4 linked regions of the Xenopus tropicalis genome follow. The protein of the gene in region 4 binds, or shares a complex with, the protein of the main gene of each other region. Links are inferred from orthologs where the notes say so. Each region holds a gene or a part of one and is shown on either strand. Other genes may lie near its edges. The genes, in order: castor1, wdr59, seh1l and mios.

What was found.
Region 1: the proteins of mios (region 4) and castor1 are in contact, whole or in part, in a cryo-EM structure (PDB 9LVK), measured with the Homo sapiens proteins. The link is inferred for Xenopus tropicalis from reciprocal best matches to the Homo sapiens genes MIOS and CASTOR1. Residues at the interface, in NP_001357005.1 of Homo sapiens: Ala83, Asn84, Val109, Pro110, Lys111, His112, Ala113, Arg114, Asp134, Lys135, His136, Arg137, Asn184; in NP_001032755.1 of Homo sapiens: Val94, Ser116, Thr117, Tyr118, Gln119, Thr120, Asp121, Thr188, Tyr236, Leu255, Thr256, Ser257, Ser258, Ala295, Tyr296.
Region 2: the proteins of mios (region 4) and wdr59 are in contact, whole or in part, in a cryo-EM structure (PDB 7UHY), measured with the Homo sapiens proteins. The link is inferred for Xenopus tropicalis from reciprocal best matches to the Homo sapiens genes MIOS and WDR59. Residues at the interface, in NP_001357005.1 of Homo sapiens: Asp705, Trp710, His711, Arg713, Ala714, Ile718, Ser721, Lys728, Pro729, Leu730, Ala731, Gln732, Val733, Phe734, Val735, Ser736, Cys737, Asn738, Phe739, Ile744, Lys780, Pro781, Leu782, Pro783, Leu787, Cys788, Leu789, Gly793, Pro795, Gln819; in NP_085058.3 of Homo sapiens: Tyr871, Arg876, Glu877, Arg879, Ala880, Glu881, Leu883, Lys884, Pro889, Pro890, His893, Lys894, Gly895, Ile896, Glu897, Phe898, Gly899, Val900, Tyr901, Arg906, Glu908, Val909, Arg910, Thr912, Phe922, Gln923, Ala925, Ile926, Cys927, His928.
Region 3: the proteins of mios (region 4) and seh1l are in contact, whole or in part, in a cryo-EM structure (PDB 7UHY), measured with the Homo sapiens proteins. The link is inferred for Xenopus tropicalis from reciprocal best matches to the Homo sapiens genes MIOS and SEH1L. Residues at the interface, in NP_001357005.1 of Homo sapiens: Arg279, Arg316, Ser317, Phe353, Glu354, Arg355, Ile356, Ser357, Leu358, Ala359, Trp360, Pro362, Leu366, Met367, Trp368, Ala369, Cys370, Gly371, Arg372, Leu374, Tyr375, Glu376, Cys377, Thr378, Glu379, Glu380, Glu387, Asp389, Ile390, Ala391; in NP_112493.2 of Homo sapiens: Met1, Phe2, Val3, Ala4, Arg5, Ser6, Ile7, Ala9, His11, Lys12, Asp13, Leu14, Ile15, His16, Asp17, Val18, Phe20, Phe22, His23, Gly24, Arg25, Met27, Trp47, Ser173, Ser174, Ser175, Asn230, Leu231, Gly232, Arg233.

What each region holds. Positions count from the first base shown.
Region 1 is NC_030677.2:144,403,198-144,407,430, reverse strand, and holds the start of castor1 (GATS-like protein 3), read right to left. Parts: upstream 2,853-4,233; 5' UTR 2,616-2,852; coding exon 2,503-2,615; intron 1-2,502. UniProt on the Homo sapiens protein: Functions as an intracellular arginine sensor within the amino acid-sensing branch of the TORC1 signaling pathway. As a homodimer or a heterodimer with CASTOR2, binds and inhibits the GATOR subcomplex GATOR2 and thereby mTORC1.
Region 2 is NC_030680.2:74,564,586-74,568,890, reverse strand, and holds the start of wdr59 (GATOR complex protein WDR59), read right to left. Parts: upstream 2,820-4,305; 5' UTR 2,638-2,819; coding exon 2,584-2,637; intron 1,192-2,583; coding exon 1,142-1,191; intron 1-1,141. UniProt on the Homo sapiens protein: As a component of the GATOR2 complex, functions as an activator of the amino acid-sensing branch of the mTORC1 signaling pathway. The GATOR2 complex indirectly activates mTORC1 through the inhibition of the GATOR1 subcomplex.
Region 3 is NC_030682.2:103,472,760-103,476,322, forward strand, and holds part of seh1l (nucleoporin SEH1), read right to left. Parts: intron 2,347-3,563; coding exon 2,200-2,346; intron 1,084-2,199; coding exon 872-1,083; intron 160-871; coding exon 61-159; intron 1-60. UniProt on the Homo sapiens protein: Component of the Nup107-160 subcomplex of the nuclear pore complex (NPC). The Nup107-160 subcomplex is required for the assembly of a functional NPC.
Region 4 is NC_030682.2:34,373,302-34,376,864, forward strand, and holds part of mios (GATOR complex protein MIOS), read left to right. Parts: coding exon 1-862; intron 863-1,460; coding exon 1,461-1,559; intron 1,560-2,230; coding exon 2,231-2,488; intron 2,489-3,535; coding exon 3,536-3,563. UniProt on the Homo sapiens protein: As a component of the GATOR2 complex, functions as an activator of the amino acid-sensing branch of the mTORC1 signaling pathway. The GATOR2 complex indirectly activates mTORC1 through the inhibition of the GATOR1 subcomplex.

The sequences.
Region 1 (4,233 bases), on a different chromosome or scaffold from region 4:
CAAAGTTTAAAAAAAAAAAAGTGAATTTAAAGGTGAACAACTCCTTTTAAGTAATGGAAAATGTACTGCTAATTCAATGTATATCAATGGATTCAGTAATTCTCTGAGCCTAAACCATAATGGCTTTCCCACAAATATAGGCCTACTGACTATTTTCCCAGTAGGCATTTTTCTACTAACATGTAACATGTCTACTGATAGGTATAGATTCCATCAAATCCCAACTCAGTTAGGCAGTCTTCTGCTACTTCTTGCTTTGAAAAACCCCAATGCCACCAAATGATCACCCCTAACAGAGATCAACTGAGAGCTGAAAGGCGCACTTGCAATGCACCACCACAATCTTAAGAGATGGTTTGGGGAGACCTGTTGCACACCCCCACTGATGTGTGCAGCTTGTATCTTGCATTTTACACTGGTGTTATCAGAAAGCTCCACATGCTATATTCCCTTAAATAGCCTCACACAGGAAGAACAAGCACATCCATTTGCGACAGGTGTATAATTTCTGCAGTAACCAGGTTACAGCCATTTCCAGCTCAGAAAGCCAGTACATAAAACTGCCATGGAAAAATGTTACTTATCACATGGGACAGCAACATATGGAGCAAATGGAACATATCCAGGTGGTATGTGTCCAGTACAGGGCAGATTTCCAATTTAAGATAAATCAGGGTTAATTTTGCATCAAATAGTACTATTAGATTTGATTTAGCACCACTTGATACCTAGCCCTGAATGGGATCACTTTACACTAAGTGCAATCTATAGCCAGAAGAGAGTGTGCTTCTATTGCTACTACACATCAAGCTCCATTGTTTTAGCTATAACATAAATTGTTTTAGTTAAAACATCTACATAATAGAAACAGATTGTTCTCTCCAGCAAGTTAAAACAAGCAGTCCACAATGGCAGACATACCAACTCATTTCCTACTCTGCTTAGTAGATAAGCGTCACCGGCCCTCTAGCAAGAGAACAGGAACACCTGTCTTGTTTTAACATGAGAGAATGAGCTGTTCTATATATTTTAAAAGTAAATATGGGTACAGATATAGACTCTTTAATGTGAAAAGCCATTCTCCAGAAAGGTTTGACATACAAATTTTTAATTTTCATAATGTCCAATTTAAACAAGCATTTTTTTTTTTTTTAAATCATTTCCTTTTTCTCTGTAATATTAAAACAGTAGCTTGTACTTGACACTAAACTGCATGAATCCATATTGGTAGCAACACAGTCCTACTGAGTTGATTTAATGTTTTTGCAAGCATTAAGGTACAGTGCCCCAAGCTACAGAAAGACCCTTTAATACCCTTTATCCAAAAACCTTGGGTCCCCAGCTTTCTTAATAGCAGATCCCATAACTGTATTTCAGGAAAGTGACTCATACGCAAAGTAGCAAACTAAATAATAAGATAAATAACAGGAAATGAAGCACACATTTTCTTTTACTCTAGGTCCCCCTTTTAATTGTTTAAGTGTAACAGTGAGTGCTTTCTTGCACTGAGGAGAGTGTGTCTGTCTTTGTAGGTCACACAGTTAATCTTGTGCAAATGTATAGGATGCCTTTGTATGTGAGCACTGGGATGTCTTATGAAATGTGGTCATATCATTAATCGCTTACAGAAATTCTTTATAAAAAAAAAAAAAAAAAACGGTTAACCAAGAACCTTGTATTGTATGTAGCACAGTGCCTATTATGATATATATATATATATATATATATATATATTTATTACACACTGCAGGAAACCATGCTTTATTGATCTCACTGGGATCTGGAACACAACAGCAGGGCATGCAGGCATAACTAGTTTCTCTATGCCCATCATCACACTCACACTGGATGCAGAGCCCAATACTAATCAGTCGGTGCATTACAGAATAGAAGCAAGTGGTCACAGCTGATAAAACGCTCTCACATAGACTGAATGTCAGGAAACTGCCAGGGGCAGCAAGCCAAACTCAGAACATGCTGCCTGGCCTGTGCAATTCATGCCCCTAAATGAGCTGCCCAACTGTTGTTCAATTACAACTCCCACCATGTGACTACAGCTTCAGGAGCTCAGTGGATGCTGCTAGGATTTGTAGTGCAACAGCTGTAGGAGAACCCTACCCACAATGGCAGGACAGCAAGGATACCAGGCACAGGTTGCAGGATGCCAGCACTGTAGGTGCAGATATTAGACAGGTGCAGTAACCAATAGCAACCACACTAACCGCTAGTGAGGATGAAATCAAAAGGCAAAGGCAAGTGCAAGTGCAGTCCTTGCCCCACATGGTTCCCTGATGCAATGCAATGCAATGAGACTGAACCATCGGCCAAGTTCTAGGACTAGTCGGGCAAGCCGTGCAACTCGTAAATGATCTACAGTGCAGGTCCCTTCCTCACTCATATGCAGCTGGTGCTGCCAGTGTTAGGGGCAATAGTGCTCTCTCTCCCCGAGTACCACAGCCCAGCAGCTTTGGCTCTCTCCCCGCCCGTGTGTTCTTTATATACCTGGTGCGCTGCCTCAGGAACAGTAGTTTGACCAGCGGGTGGGTGTAGAACCACAGGCCACACTTCTCAATGCTGGTCACTCGCACCCGATGCTCCAGCAGCTGTAGATCCATTGCACGGACACCCAGCCGAGACCCACAGCGTGCTCCACGGGGCGTGGCCTTGCTAGGAAGGGATGTGTCAATCAGTAGCATGGGCCGGGCTCATAGTGACACACAGGGTGATGTGCCGGCTGACCCGAAACCCAGTGGGTTCGGCCCGAATATTGGATGTTCATGGCGGGTGCGGGTCGGGTACCTGATATTCTTGGAAGGTATTGCAGGCCATGGGATGGAAGAGGCTGAACAGACAGTAACAGGAACCAGAGGGGGGGCGGTACGGATAGCAGATCGCTCACTGAGGGAAAAAACATTGATTGATGTGGGGAAAGGGGAGGGGCGAGAAGCTGCAGAAGTTAGGGACTGAGGGCAAATTTACACTTTTCATTAAATAGTAGAGACGTTCTAGTAGTGTGTGCATCGTTCCCTCTCTGGTAGTCAGCTACTCGACTGCCTATCATTGTAATTTTATTGCCCGCAAAGCCTTTCCTGATGCTGTATCACAGGCAGCCAGTGCCTTACTGCCAGCAATTACTGTTCAGAGGAGAGAGCAGCCTTATACACGCCCCCTGTGGTTTGTTGCCCGCCCAGCTGCTCAATCAGCAATAGAATTTATTGTGGCCCCGCCCATAACGTCATGGAACCGCCTCGCCTCCCAAACATTCTCTGCCTCTTCAGGTTTGCAAGGTTTGAGAGCAGCAACAATAAACATGTCTTCAGCTTGATCTAGTACTAGTAGCTCAAAGGCACACCAGGAAAATCCCACCTGCTTGTGACATTAAAAATACATGTGATTTGTTGCAAAGTGGAGAACTTAAAGTACAACAGAAAAAAGATGCAGAAATCTATAGTGTGGAAACAATTTGGGGGAGGTAGTTAGCGCAGACAAATGTAAATACAAAGGCTATGTAAGCTGTGTGAAATGCAAAGCACTTTATAAATATGACAGTCACAAGACTGGTACTTCTAATCTAAGCAGACACATATGTGGGCAAAGTTCCACAGGTAGAACCACTGCAGCATCTTCTCCTTACATAGCAGAGCCAGCAACAACAAAGCCTATAGTGTCATACTTTCTAAAAGATGTATCTAAAATTCCAGTAAATGTCAAATTACAGTTGTTAGATTCATGTGTTGATTTGTACTGTATGGATATTAGGCCTTTTGATATTGTGACAGGAAGGATTTAAGCGCTTTGCCCAGTCACTTATTAATATTGGTGCTACCTATGGATCTGTTAGTGCAGATATGATTCTTCCCCACAGAAATACTATATGTAAGAAGGCTGTAGAAACAGCTAAATTAGAAAAGCACTAGAAGATGGCATAGCAATCACTACTGATATGTGGACTGACAAACACCATAAACAGGCATATACTGTGCTAACTTGCCACTTTTTACATGTAGTCAATACCTGGCTATTAAAAGCCAAAGTCATTGCATTATCCGAATTTGAGGCAGGAGTTTCTAAAACAGCTGAAAATCTTACTGGGCAGATTAACAAAGAACTGTCTGAATATGGCATTACATCCAAGTTATATTCCAAAATTGTGTTTGTGAGTGACCAAGGTGCAAACATCAAAGCTGCTCTTCTCAATTGTCATTGGATTCTATGTTGAGCATATGTACTGAA
Region 2 (4,305 bases), on a different chromosome or scaffold from region 4:
ACACAAAATCAGGCACCAAATGCAGAAGAGAAGATCATAAAACAGGCCGGGGTCAAATCAGAAGTCAGAGTCCGAAGTCAAGCCAAGGGGTAACCGAAGAGTAGTCAGAAGCAAGCTGAAATCAGAAGTCCAAGGATCAATCAGGAATACCAGAAATGATCGGTGACGATTGCAAGCAAAAATGATCACTTCGCAAAGTGTACAGGCCTCAGCGTCCTTAAATTCGAAACTCGCATGCGTGCAGCGTCAGTCGCGGGGTGCCCGTGAGCGGCGTACGTTCGGTCGTGTGCGCCCGTGCGCGGTGTCTTTTCGTCCGCACCGCCGCATACCATGTGCCGAAGCCGACCGATGGTCGCACGAAAGATCGTACAATCAACCACTAACCATTCACGGCTGAAACGGCAGATAAGGAGGTAGAAACAATAGGATTTCTACCTCCTTCTGCCGATTCAGCCCTGAAGGCAGATTTTGATCAGGCGCCTTCTATGGCGCCCGATCAAAATATTTTAACCTGGCCGATCGGCGAGTCGACCGATATCAGCAGCCTCCTGCGATATCGGTCGACTTGCCGACTTGCTATACACGCACCGAATATCGTACGAAGCGAGGTTTTGTACATTATCGGTGCGTGTATGGCCAGCTTAAGGTTAATATTGGTTTTATATAAACCAATATCAGTACAAACCAGCATGGTGCAAAAGTGAATAGAACAAATTTTATAGCAAATATGCACACTTGCACGGGCACAAGAATTACTGTATTAAAAGACAAAATAATCAAAAAGCTTTTTTTTTTTGTTTTACATTTTGTTTAGTTGCTGATGCAAATGTGCATTCTGATAAAGTAAGATATAAGTAGTGCACTCAGAATGCCTTAAACCAGATATTGGTTCTTATAACAGAAACCTAAATAAGTGCCCCACTGTCCAAAGGTCCCTTAGTTCCGTAGTTAGAATGTAAGTTCTTTTGAATCTTTCAATCTTAAAAATCCTGGCAATTTATACAGACAGAGATCCATAAAACAAATGCACTACTCTTGAACTGGTCACTGATGTCTCAGCTCTGTGTAATCAGCACAGTGCTATATCAATAAATGTATAAATACACTATGCACACTATTTTTTTCCTGGAAACAAACTTACCCAGAAAGTACAGCAAGCTGTCCTTGGCAATCGACTGACATAGCAGTTGCCTATAAAAACATTACATATTTGCAAGTTATGATTCTTTACATAATAAATAATACATTTATAGTGGATTTATTTTATATTTTCTTTTTGTGACCAGGATGAAAAAAATATTTTTTACAGAAATAAAACAACAATACAAAGCTATTAGGGCAGTAACTAGGATTACCTTATATAGTGTAATGGATGGGCCCAGATTAAAACCTAATGAGTGTATAATTTAGGCTTCAAGCTGTCCCATTATTCACCCTTATGGACAGTGGAGTGCTCAGGGCATACTTATACAAGCACAGGAAAAATATACACACTCCATGGAGATACTAGGGTTTGTATGTATACTGACATTTTAATATGAAACCTTGAATAAAATCATTTTTTATGTACTGGTTTTGTTACAAGATACTTCTTTCTATGGTTGCTTGTTTAACATGCTAGGCACTAGAACACATATATATTCAGTATACATATATACTGCTGCTTTCAAGAGTCTTAGGGGGGCAGCATTTTGCCACTCTTGCGAATTATCACTGAGGGATGGAGAGAAAACACTGCAAATTTTATTTTGATTAAAGAATTTCTCATTAACTCTGTATAAGAGCATAGATCACTTTGGTGAAACAAAGGTGATATATTTGTGCTACAAGTAAGGAAATGTTTCAGGCTCTTCCAGCCCTTTATCAAGCCTTTTAAGGCTTAATAGCGCTTGTAGAGCCCAAAATGTTGCCTTACTTGTGGCCCGAATAAATCGCCTTTGTTTCATCATTACGTGCTGCTGAGGCTTTCTTTCTTTCTACAAGGAGTGACCCTGGGCAGAGGGGATCATAGTTTTACACCCAGCGCTTCAATAGGCAACTATATGTGTAAGTGAAGCACTGTTACCTTGAGAGAGTGGATTAATCTTTAGTTTTTTTTTTTTTATTAAAAGCCAGTAATCCTGCTTGTTATAATTTTGGAATGCAGGAGAAAACAAAAGAACACGGAAACAAGGAAATGTTCAAATTCATTTTACCACACTAAAAATGACATGCCTTTTGGAACTTGTGCTACAATTCTAGATACTAGGACAAGCAACGTGACTGAGCTAAAGAAAAAAAAAAATATATATATATATACTGAACAGTAGATCACATTATTTAATAGGTCAACAATCTGACAATTGCACTTAATGGCCTCCTGAATATACAAAACACTATAAAACTAATTGTAAAGAGAAGTCCAGGCATACTGGAGCCATGTCTACCTCCCCTGACAGCTAAAAACTGACTCAATCATTAGGCGTCTACTACTAGGCATGCGCAAGCCACTCCCTTCTATCTGCCGATTTTTCTGTAGGTTGTTCAGATTAGAGCGCTCGATATTTGCAGTGAACCCACAGCTCCTGCATTTATTCCACTCACCTGCGAATCCCGAAATTCTACCACCACGTTCTCGCTGCTCCAGTGAGCCGCCATCTTTGCCTACTTACCAGGCGGCCGCAATAACAACAACAACGTCTTGCATCACGACGTCCTTGTCGCCGAGCAACACCTTAACGCCAGTGAATAGAGAATTCTGGGACTAGTAGTTTTTTCTCACATTGGCATGAAAACTAAAGACGATGTGGTAAGTGTAAGGAACAGTGTATAACACGAAGACATCAAAAGAAAAGGGCACTGCCTTAAAAATACAAATTTTATGTGGAGATAAAAGTTAGATTTTCGTCAACCTTGAAAAAAGGATTATACCTGGGAATACAAAAGATCAAAATCATACCTGAGTTCATGAACAATTTTAAGATAAATCTTTCTAAAAATGAATGTTATTGCGCTGTAGTTTTGGCATTTAGGTCTGGCTGATCTGTCATAACTAATATACACCATGAAACGTATTATCTGTTCATCCTGCTGCTGCTGTGATCCCTCCTTGCTTGTCTGATAAGTTATTGCTGGTCAAGCGGTGGTTCTCTGAAGTTTAAAAACCAATAACAATATAATAGGGATAATATACAATATAATAGGGATAATTTATTACTGCTTCAACATACCTCCCAACTGTTCCGATTTTCGCAGGACATTCCCTCTTTTGACAGCTTAACCCGCAGTCCCAGATTCTTACTGAAAAGTCCCTCATTTCCCTTTGATCTCTTGCACTGAAGCTAAAAAAAGATACAAATTTAATTAAAAGTAGCTTTTGGCAGAGAGCCCAGAAATCTGATTGAGCTTCACCTGCACTTAGAAACATTGTTTCTCGCTTTTAAGGCTAAGGCTAATGCCACATGAAGCGTAGGGCTGAAATTTTCGGCAAGCGGATAAACGCTTGCCGAAAATTCAGCCCTACGCCTCCTACTTGTGCCTGCACCCGAATGAATGGGATACGCTCAGGTGCAGGCACATGTAGCCGATATACGCATGAAAACGCTAGACTTTGCATTCTCTCGCGTTTTCATGCGTATATCGGCTACATGTGCCTGCACCCGAGCGTATCCCATTCATTCGGGTGCAGCAAAAAAATCCAGTAGCACACTGAAGATGCAAATCGTGAAAAAATTGTATTTTATTTGCCCAAGTACATAAAAACAAGCAAAGAGCAACGTTTCGGGACCCTCCGGACCCTTTCTCAAGCTTGAGAAAGGGTCCGGAGGGTCCCGAAACGTTGCTCTTTGCTTGTTTTTATGTACTTGGGCAAATAAAATACATTTTTTTCACGATTTGCATCTTCAGTGTGCTACTGGATTTTTTTGCTGTTGGATATTGACCCCCATGCAAGGTGAGGTTCTTCCAGTATTTGCACCTGATACCCGTTTGGGTAAGTTAACAGAGGGTTGAGCTCCCCAATACTGCTATTGCTATTCATTCGGGTGCAGGCACAAGTAGCAGGTGTAGGGCTGATTTTTCAGCAAGCGTTTTTCCACTTGCCGAAAAAATCAGCCCTATGCCGCGTGTGGCATCAGCCTTATGTCAGACGAGGCGTCTGGCATATATTTATGGCAAGCGGAAAAGCACTTGAGCGTATTACATTCATTCGGTGCAGGCACAGGTAGGAGGCAGATGGCGGTATTTTGGCAATCGATTTTCCGCTTGCCGAAAATATACGGCAGACGCCTCGTCTGACATTAGCCTAATTAAATAAGTAGCTTTTGG
Region 3 (3,563 bases), about 69 Mb from region 4:
CAAAGTACGAAAAAGTCGCAAAAAATACGCACAGTACGAAAACTTTTTTGTATTCGATACCTTGTGTTCTCATTATATTCATAGATCTGTACTTTTCCCATGATATTTGGGCTGCTGTCGTCACTGCCTACAGCAATCATAGGAGAATGGGCTCGGGAGCTAAAACAACCAAATAAAAGAATAAATAAAATGTTTGATTCATAATATGAAACAAACCTTAATTTAAATATGAAATGCTAATAATTTAATAAGTGAACATTCATATTTTATTTTTCATTAAAAGGTACCAATAGGTATTTTGCTTTAAAGCTGCCATTTCAGCAAATTATAGCACAGTGTATAGGATGCATAGATGCACTGGTGGAGAAAATTCCTAATGTAACAAAGCTCTAATCAGCCGTTTTATCTGTAAACTGCTAATCCGACTAACTACCTTCTTTCCCTCGCAAAACTTCCTGCATGAACCAGAGAGTTAAAAAATGTATTTGTATGAAGAAAACCTTTGTTAAATATTATGTTTATCTATTCACTAAATGCGTGTTGAATACGGAAGAATACTGCCTCTTTACATGTCTAGTAAAACTTAATACTAAATTTGTAACATTTACAAAGTTTATTTTGCAACTATACCCAATGTTTAGCTGATTATATTTAGAAAGCTCATATGAAATTTCAATTTTAACAATAGTTCCCTTTAACATTTCAGCAAAGCTTTAGTTTGTCATATATGTAATGCTCCTTGACATGAGTAGATCTAGCATAAGTAGCACTTATGTAACCACTGATGTAAATAGTCTGCAAAGTCTCATTTGCTTTCCTATTTTCATATACACATTCAGAGATGTAACAAAGTAAATTGTTTATAACTAACCTAGAGGGATTCCAAGAGATACAACTGCAGCTCAGTTTGCATGAGATTTCATGCTGCAGGGACCACTGACTGAGGTTCATAACATCAGGGGCCTCATATATTCTCACCACTCCATCTGCAGAGCAGGTTGCCAGCATCAGACCCATGTGTTTTGGAGCAAACTTTACATCGGTTACAGATGTCCTGCTGTCCACTAGTGTTGTTCTTTTAACCTAAAGCAGAATCAGAATAAATAAATAATGGTGACCAAACATACATTTCCCCTTAATTTGGATGCTGCTCAAAAAGTCAGCGCTATGCCACCTCTAGCTTTTAACCTATTGATAAAGCAGTGTATAGAGTCACCAAACAACTTTTGTTTTCTGTTGGTGTTGGAGACCTCCATTAAAAAAATGATTGACATTAGGGTTTATTTAGGCATAGTGACACATTTCTGCTGAAATATTGAACATCACTATCCCTTTAAAAGTTGCCAATGTGTTTCTTAGTCATCAAATTCTGCTTCTTTTTATTCCAAACAAACCTTTGAGAGTGGCCAAAGAGTTAATTTTTACTTTAGTTCACAGCACTTTAAAAGATCACTGTTTTGTATTCCTTAGCTTAGATGTTGATGTTTGTGATGAAGTTGAAGGTTAAGCTTTCCTTTGATGACTCTTCCATGCAGATCATGTTTGTGTAAGCAGTGCTGTGCCATGAAACTATGCAACACCAGTCTTGCTCTTAATCTTGCTCTGTCAGATTGTCTCTAGACTTCCACAGTTCCCCTTCCCCTGCCATTTCTTGATGACATGGCGACAATTAACTTTGTCAGATGTTCGCACAGTTGCATTATGGAGTCCATGATTGTTGACTAACAGAGATTTCATTATGCTATTCAAATGTTAACAGTTGACAACTCCTAATAGATATTAAGGCCTAATGGGGTAATTAGGGTCAGGTGAAAGGGTGTCCAAACCTTTGCACATGCCATAATTTCTTGCATTTGTTTATACTTCTCTATGCTTTAAAGTTTGCAAAATAAAATGGATCTGTGAATTAATGTTTGCAAATATGCGGTTTCTGATTCAACTGTATTTGTTTACTATAAATTTACTAAATATTTAATTTGGAAAGGACTGCCCACATTTTTCAGACTGTACATACTGGGGTAAATTACAAATCTTCCAGTTGAACACTCATGATGTTATATATAGACAAAAATGATGCACATCCAGGTGTATATTGAAAAGGTGCAATCAAAATATAATTATCATATAATCATATATACAGTTTTCAAACAAGCTCAATACTGGGAAAAATGTGCTCATATATCTGACAATAGGTCTTACCCAATGACTCTGTCCGCGCAGTTTATCATTTGATTCACCAACTATTTCTTCCCACACTGCAGCAGTTCTGTCAAACGAACATGAGGCTAATACCTGGCCGAATTCTGGGTGAGCCCATGTTACCCGCCATACTGAACCACTGTGGGTCTTAAGAACAAGACAAAAATAACATTTTCCTTCCAGAATACAAAGGTTAAAGTAAATTACAAGCTGCTCCGACTGCTCTGTGCATTAAATACAGTGTATTTAAATATGTGTGCGTTTAGGAATAGCATGCTAATATTGAGGGCTGTGTTTTCTATGCAAGCACACAAGGTTTGTGCCTAGAGCAGTAGCAGAGGTGTATATAGCATTTTCTTTTTAAAGCTCCAGACCACCACTAGATTCTAGTGGCTAAATTAACAAACAAGATGAGGGGCTGAGTACCCAATTTCCACCAACTGGCACATGCACATTTACAGTATTAAGCATGCAACAATTGCATAGGGTAGCAACAGCTATTAATCCGCCACTCATAATACTGTAATAACTAATAAACTTTTTTTCATTATTGAAGCATGGCAGCTTTTCCCAGTAGTACCCAATCACTAAACCTTTTGCTCTGTTTAATGGCAATGGAGACATTTCCTTTCATTATACTGTCCCTTTAAAAAAGGACTAGCAAATTAGGCCCTAGTTAGTATCTGTTGATTGAACATCTAGAAAAACTATTTCCAGACAAGAAATGTCCTGTTTAATACACCAGTAAGTGCAAGGCAGCAGTATATTAAAATTAAACACATACGAAACAGTTTATTTACCGTATATACTCTAGTATAAGCCGATCGCCGAGGTACCTAATTTTACCTAAGAAAACTGGAAAAATTTATTGACTCAAGTATAAGCCTAGGGTGGGAAATGCAGCTCCTACTGCTTTGTTGTTTTTTTTTTTTTTTTTTTTTAACTGTCAGGCAAGTTTGGGAAGGCTAAGAAAGCTGCCATACTAAGTACTTGCCAACCTGCTGTGTGCGCTCCCCTGTGTGCTCTCCCATCCTGCTGTGTGCGTTCCCATCCTGCTGTGAGGCCCAAACCTTGGTTGAACAGCCCGTAATGCTGCCTTCAAGCTACTAAATAGCTGTTTGCTCCTCCAGAGAGCTTTCTATTGTCTAAGTGGCCCATAATGGGGACTTAGACTATTTTCACATGGAACATTTTGATTGTCTATATTTGTAGCGCGGTAAAAAAAATACCTGATGTCCACCACAGTCTGCTTCCCATTGACTTCAGAGCTGTGCAACTTGTCACCCAGCGTGGCTGAATATCACCCTAATACTTAACAGCTCATCCAAACAAAACAGCTTGTTGGATTTCTGCCGTGTGCGCTC
Region 4 (3,563 bases):
ATAAGCAGCAAGTATACTCCAGAGGTAGCAGTTCCTACGGAGAAAGTCCGTCTTGCACCCGGTGATAGTGAAACATGTTCAGTGGTTACCAAACCACTTTATGAATTAGGACAGAATGATGCTTCCCTCTCTCTTTGTTGGCTTCCGAGAGACCAGAAACTGCTTTTGGCTGGGATGCATCGTAACTTGGCAATATTTGATTTGAGGAATACAAATCAGAAAATTTTTGTAAATACTAAAGCTGTCCAAGGGGTGACAGTGGACCCGCATTTCCATGACAGAGTAGCTTCATTTTTTGAAGGTCAAGTCGCCATTTGGGATCTTCGAAAATTTGAAAAACCAGTGTTAACGTTAACAGAGCAACCAAAACCCCTAACCAAAGTAGCCTGGTGCCCAACTAGAACTGGACTGCTGGCTACTCTGACTAGAGACAGTAATATTATCAGACTGTATGACATGCAGCACACTCCCACACCCATTGGGGACGAAACAGAGCCTACCATCATTGAAAGGAGTGTCCAGCCTTGTGATAACTATATTGCATCTTTTGCTTGGCACCCTACAAGCCAAAACCGAATGGTGGTCGTTACTCCTAACAGGTCAATGTCAGATTTTACTGTGTTTGAGAGGATCTCTTTGGCTTGGAGCCCCACAACTTCACTGATGTGGGCTTGCAGCAGGCAGCTGTATGAATGTACAGAGGAAGGGAAATGCAGCTCTTCATTAGATCGAGATATAGCCACTAAAATGAGACTCAGAGCTTTATCACGATATGGACTCGACACAGAGCAGGTCTGGAGAAATCATCTGTTGGCAGGAAATGATGATCCTCAGTTGAAATCCTTGTGGTACACTTTACACTATATCCTTTTTTAGTTCTGTAATATTAATTACTAGTTGTTATTTAGACCATCTGATTTTGTAGGGCCACAGAACTGATGACTGGGGTCACAAGTGGCAGTGAGGGTCATCAGCACTAGAATGTTGAGTGCAAGTCGCTTACTGATCTAATATCTGGCATCCTCAAACTATGGGCCGCAGGCCGGATATGGCCCCCAAGGTAATTTACCCGGCCCCCACTCTGATCTGATGCGAGGACGTAGGGGAACCCGGAGGACACAGGGGGGAGCGGGAGCATGCGGGGGGGGGGAGCCGGAGGATCAGAGGATGTGGGGGGGGGGAGCCAGAGGACGCGGGGGGGAGCCGGAGGAAGCAGGGGAGAGTAGGAGGACGCAGCCGGGAGGGGGCCATAGTATGAGGACACGGGGGGAGGAATTAAGTCCCCCCCCAACAGTCTGAGGGACCATGAACTGGCCCCCTGCTTAAAAAGTTTGAGGACCCCTGCTCTAAATAGTCAGCAGCAATGGGCATGCTCAGTTCTAGATACCTTAAATAATCTGCCCAGTATTTGCATCACTACTTACTGTTTTCATGCTTACAATTCCTATATACATCAACACTTATGAAGCAGTATGCAGAAGATATTGACCAAAAAACTTCAGGAAACAAAGGGTTATTGGTGTATGCTGGAATCAAAGCAATCACAAAGTCATCAATGGGTAAGGTCAATTATGAATACTTTGGTTTTTATAACCTACGTGCCTGGAACACTGACCAAAGCTGGACTTGTTATTAAGTGGGTGGCATAAATCTAAAGTTTAATTTCCCAAAGAAAGTGTAGTGACTGATACGTTTGCAGCTCCTGTACAAGCACACACAGAATGAATTAATATTCCTGTTTATGCACTAATTATTAAGTTCAGTGCTGATGCAGATGTCTTAAAAATACATTGAACAAAACATTGTACCGCTTACCTAGTTTACAACTTATAAGGAATGTAAATACTTTACAAACAGATATAAGATCAAGGCAAATATAAGTATTTCTTTTCTGCTAAAGCTGGCAGTATTGTTAATCCTCTCCATTGGCACTTTGACAAAGTTGACATGGGGGATTGTGATTGGTGGACCCTGTTTTCATAGTAAAGACTAGAGACAGAAGGGAGGGACAGAGTAAGGCACATTCATAATGCAGACAAGGGAAGTATGTCCATAGCTCACTATTTTTATACAGCTTTTCTTCTTTTTACTGTTTAATAAATTATATTTTCAAGGGATAGTTGTGTAAAGGGAAACTAGTGCAGATGCATTCCAATTAAAGTTTTATTGTGCCCAAGGCATTATCGGTAGTTAACAAGACAAATATTAACCAGATATCTGTTCTATAAAGGGACAACTGAAAGTTTCAGGCACAGCTGGACCGGCTCTGATAGACAAGCAGATATTGTGCACTTTTCCAGTGAGGAAAGATGTCTTGCCCTACAACTTTGTGGCTGGAGGACAAAGGGTGCTGATGCCGACATGGGGCATTTTCTGAACTCCTTGGAGCAGGAAGGAGAGTGGGAGAGAGCAGCTGCTATAGCCCTGTTTAATAGAGACATTCGGCGTGCCATACAGATCTTAAATAAGGGAGCATCCACTGGGAAAGGTATGTGGCTGTTTGCCAACCCTTATGGCTAAAGGCAAGTGGGCATTTTGATCTTGGATTGCTTCCCATCGACATCATTGGAAACTGCCATTAGTCATAATACATGATGATCATTTTTGGTCAATAATTGTGACCAGCAATACGTAGGCCTTTCCACCAGCGAGTCAAGTTATACACTCACCTAAAGGTTTATTAGGAACACCTGTTCAATTTCTCATTAATGCAATTATCTAATCAACCAATCACATGGCAGTTGCTTCAATGCAATTAGGGGTGTGGTCCTGGTCAAGACAATCTCCTGAACTCCAAACTGAATGTCAGAATGGGAAAGAAAGGTGATTTAAGCAATTTTGAGCGTACAACCATTTCTAGGGTTTACAAAGAATGGTGTGAAAAGGGAAAAACATCCAGTATGTGGCAGTCCTGTGGGCGAAATGCCTTGTTGATTCTAGAGGTCAGAGAAGGGTATTAGTATGGTGTTCCTAATAATCCTTTAGGTGAGTGTATCTTCTGGCTTAAGGTCCCCATACACGGGCCGACTATAGCTGCCGATTTCGGTCCCTTGGACCGATTCGGCAGCTAATCAGCCCGTGTATGGGCAGAACAGAGCGGCCTGGCCGACCGATATCTGGCCTAAAATTGGCCAGATCTCGATCGGCCAGGTTAGAAAATCCAGTCGGATCGGGGACCGCATCGGCTCGTTGATGCGGTCCCCGAACCGACTGCCCCATAACTACAAATGTAATCCGATCGTTTCGCCCCAGGGCCAAACGATCGGATTATTTTTTTTTTAAGTTTCTTGCTACCCGATATCGCCCACCCGTAGGTGGGGATATTGGGTGAAGATCCGCTCGCTTGGCGACATCGCCAAGCGAGCGGGTCTTATAGTGTATGGGCACCTTTAAGAGGCCTTAAAATATTAAAACAGTAGAGAGTTTTTAATTGAGCTAGGGAACGGTTGATGGATGAAAGTCACTGTTAACTAACATTTTAACATAAGTGTGAGATATTGATCATTGAAGTTAACTCAGTTTTTGTAAATTGTAGGTAATCTAAACCTAAACGTTGTAGCAAT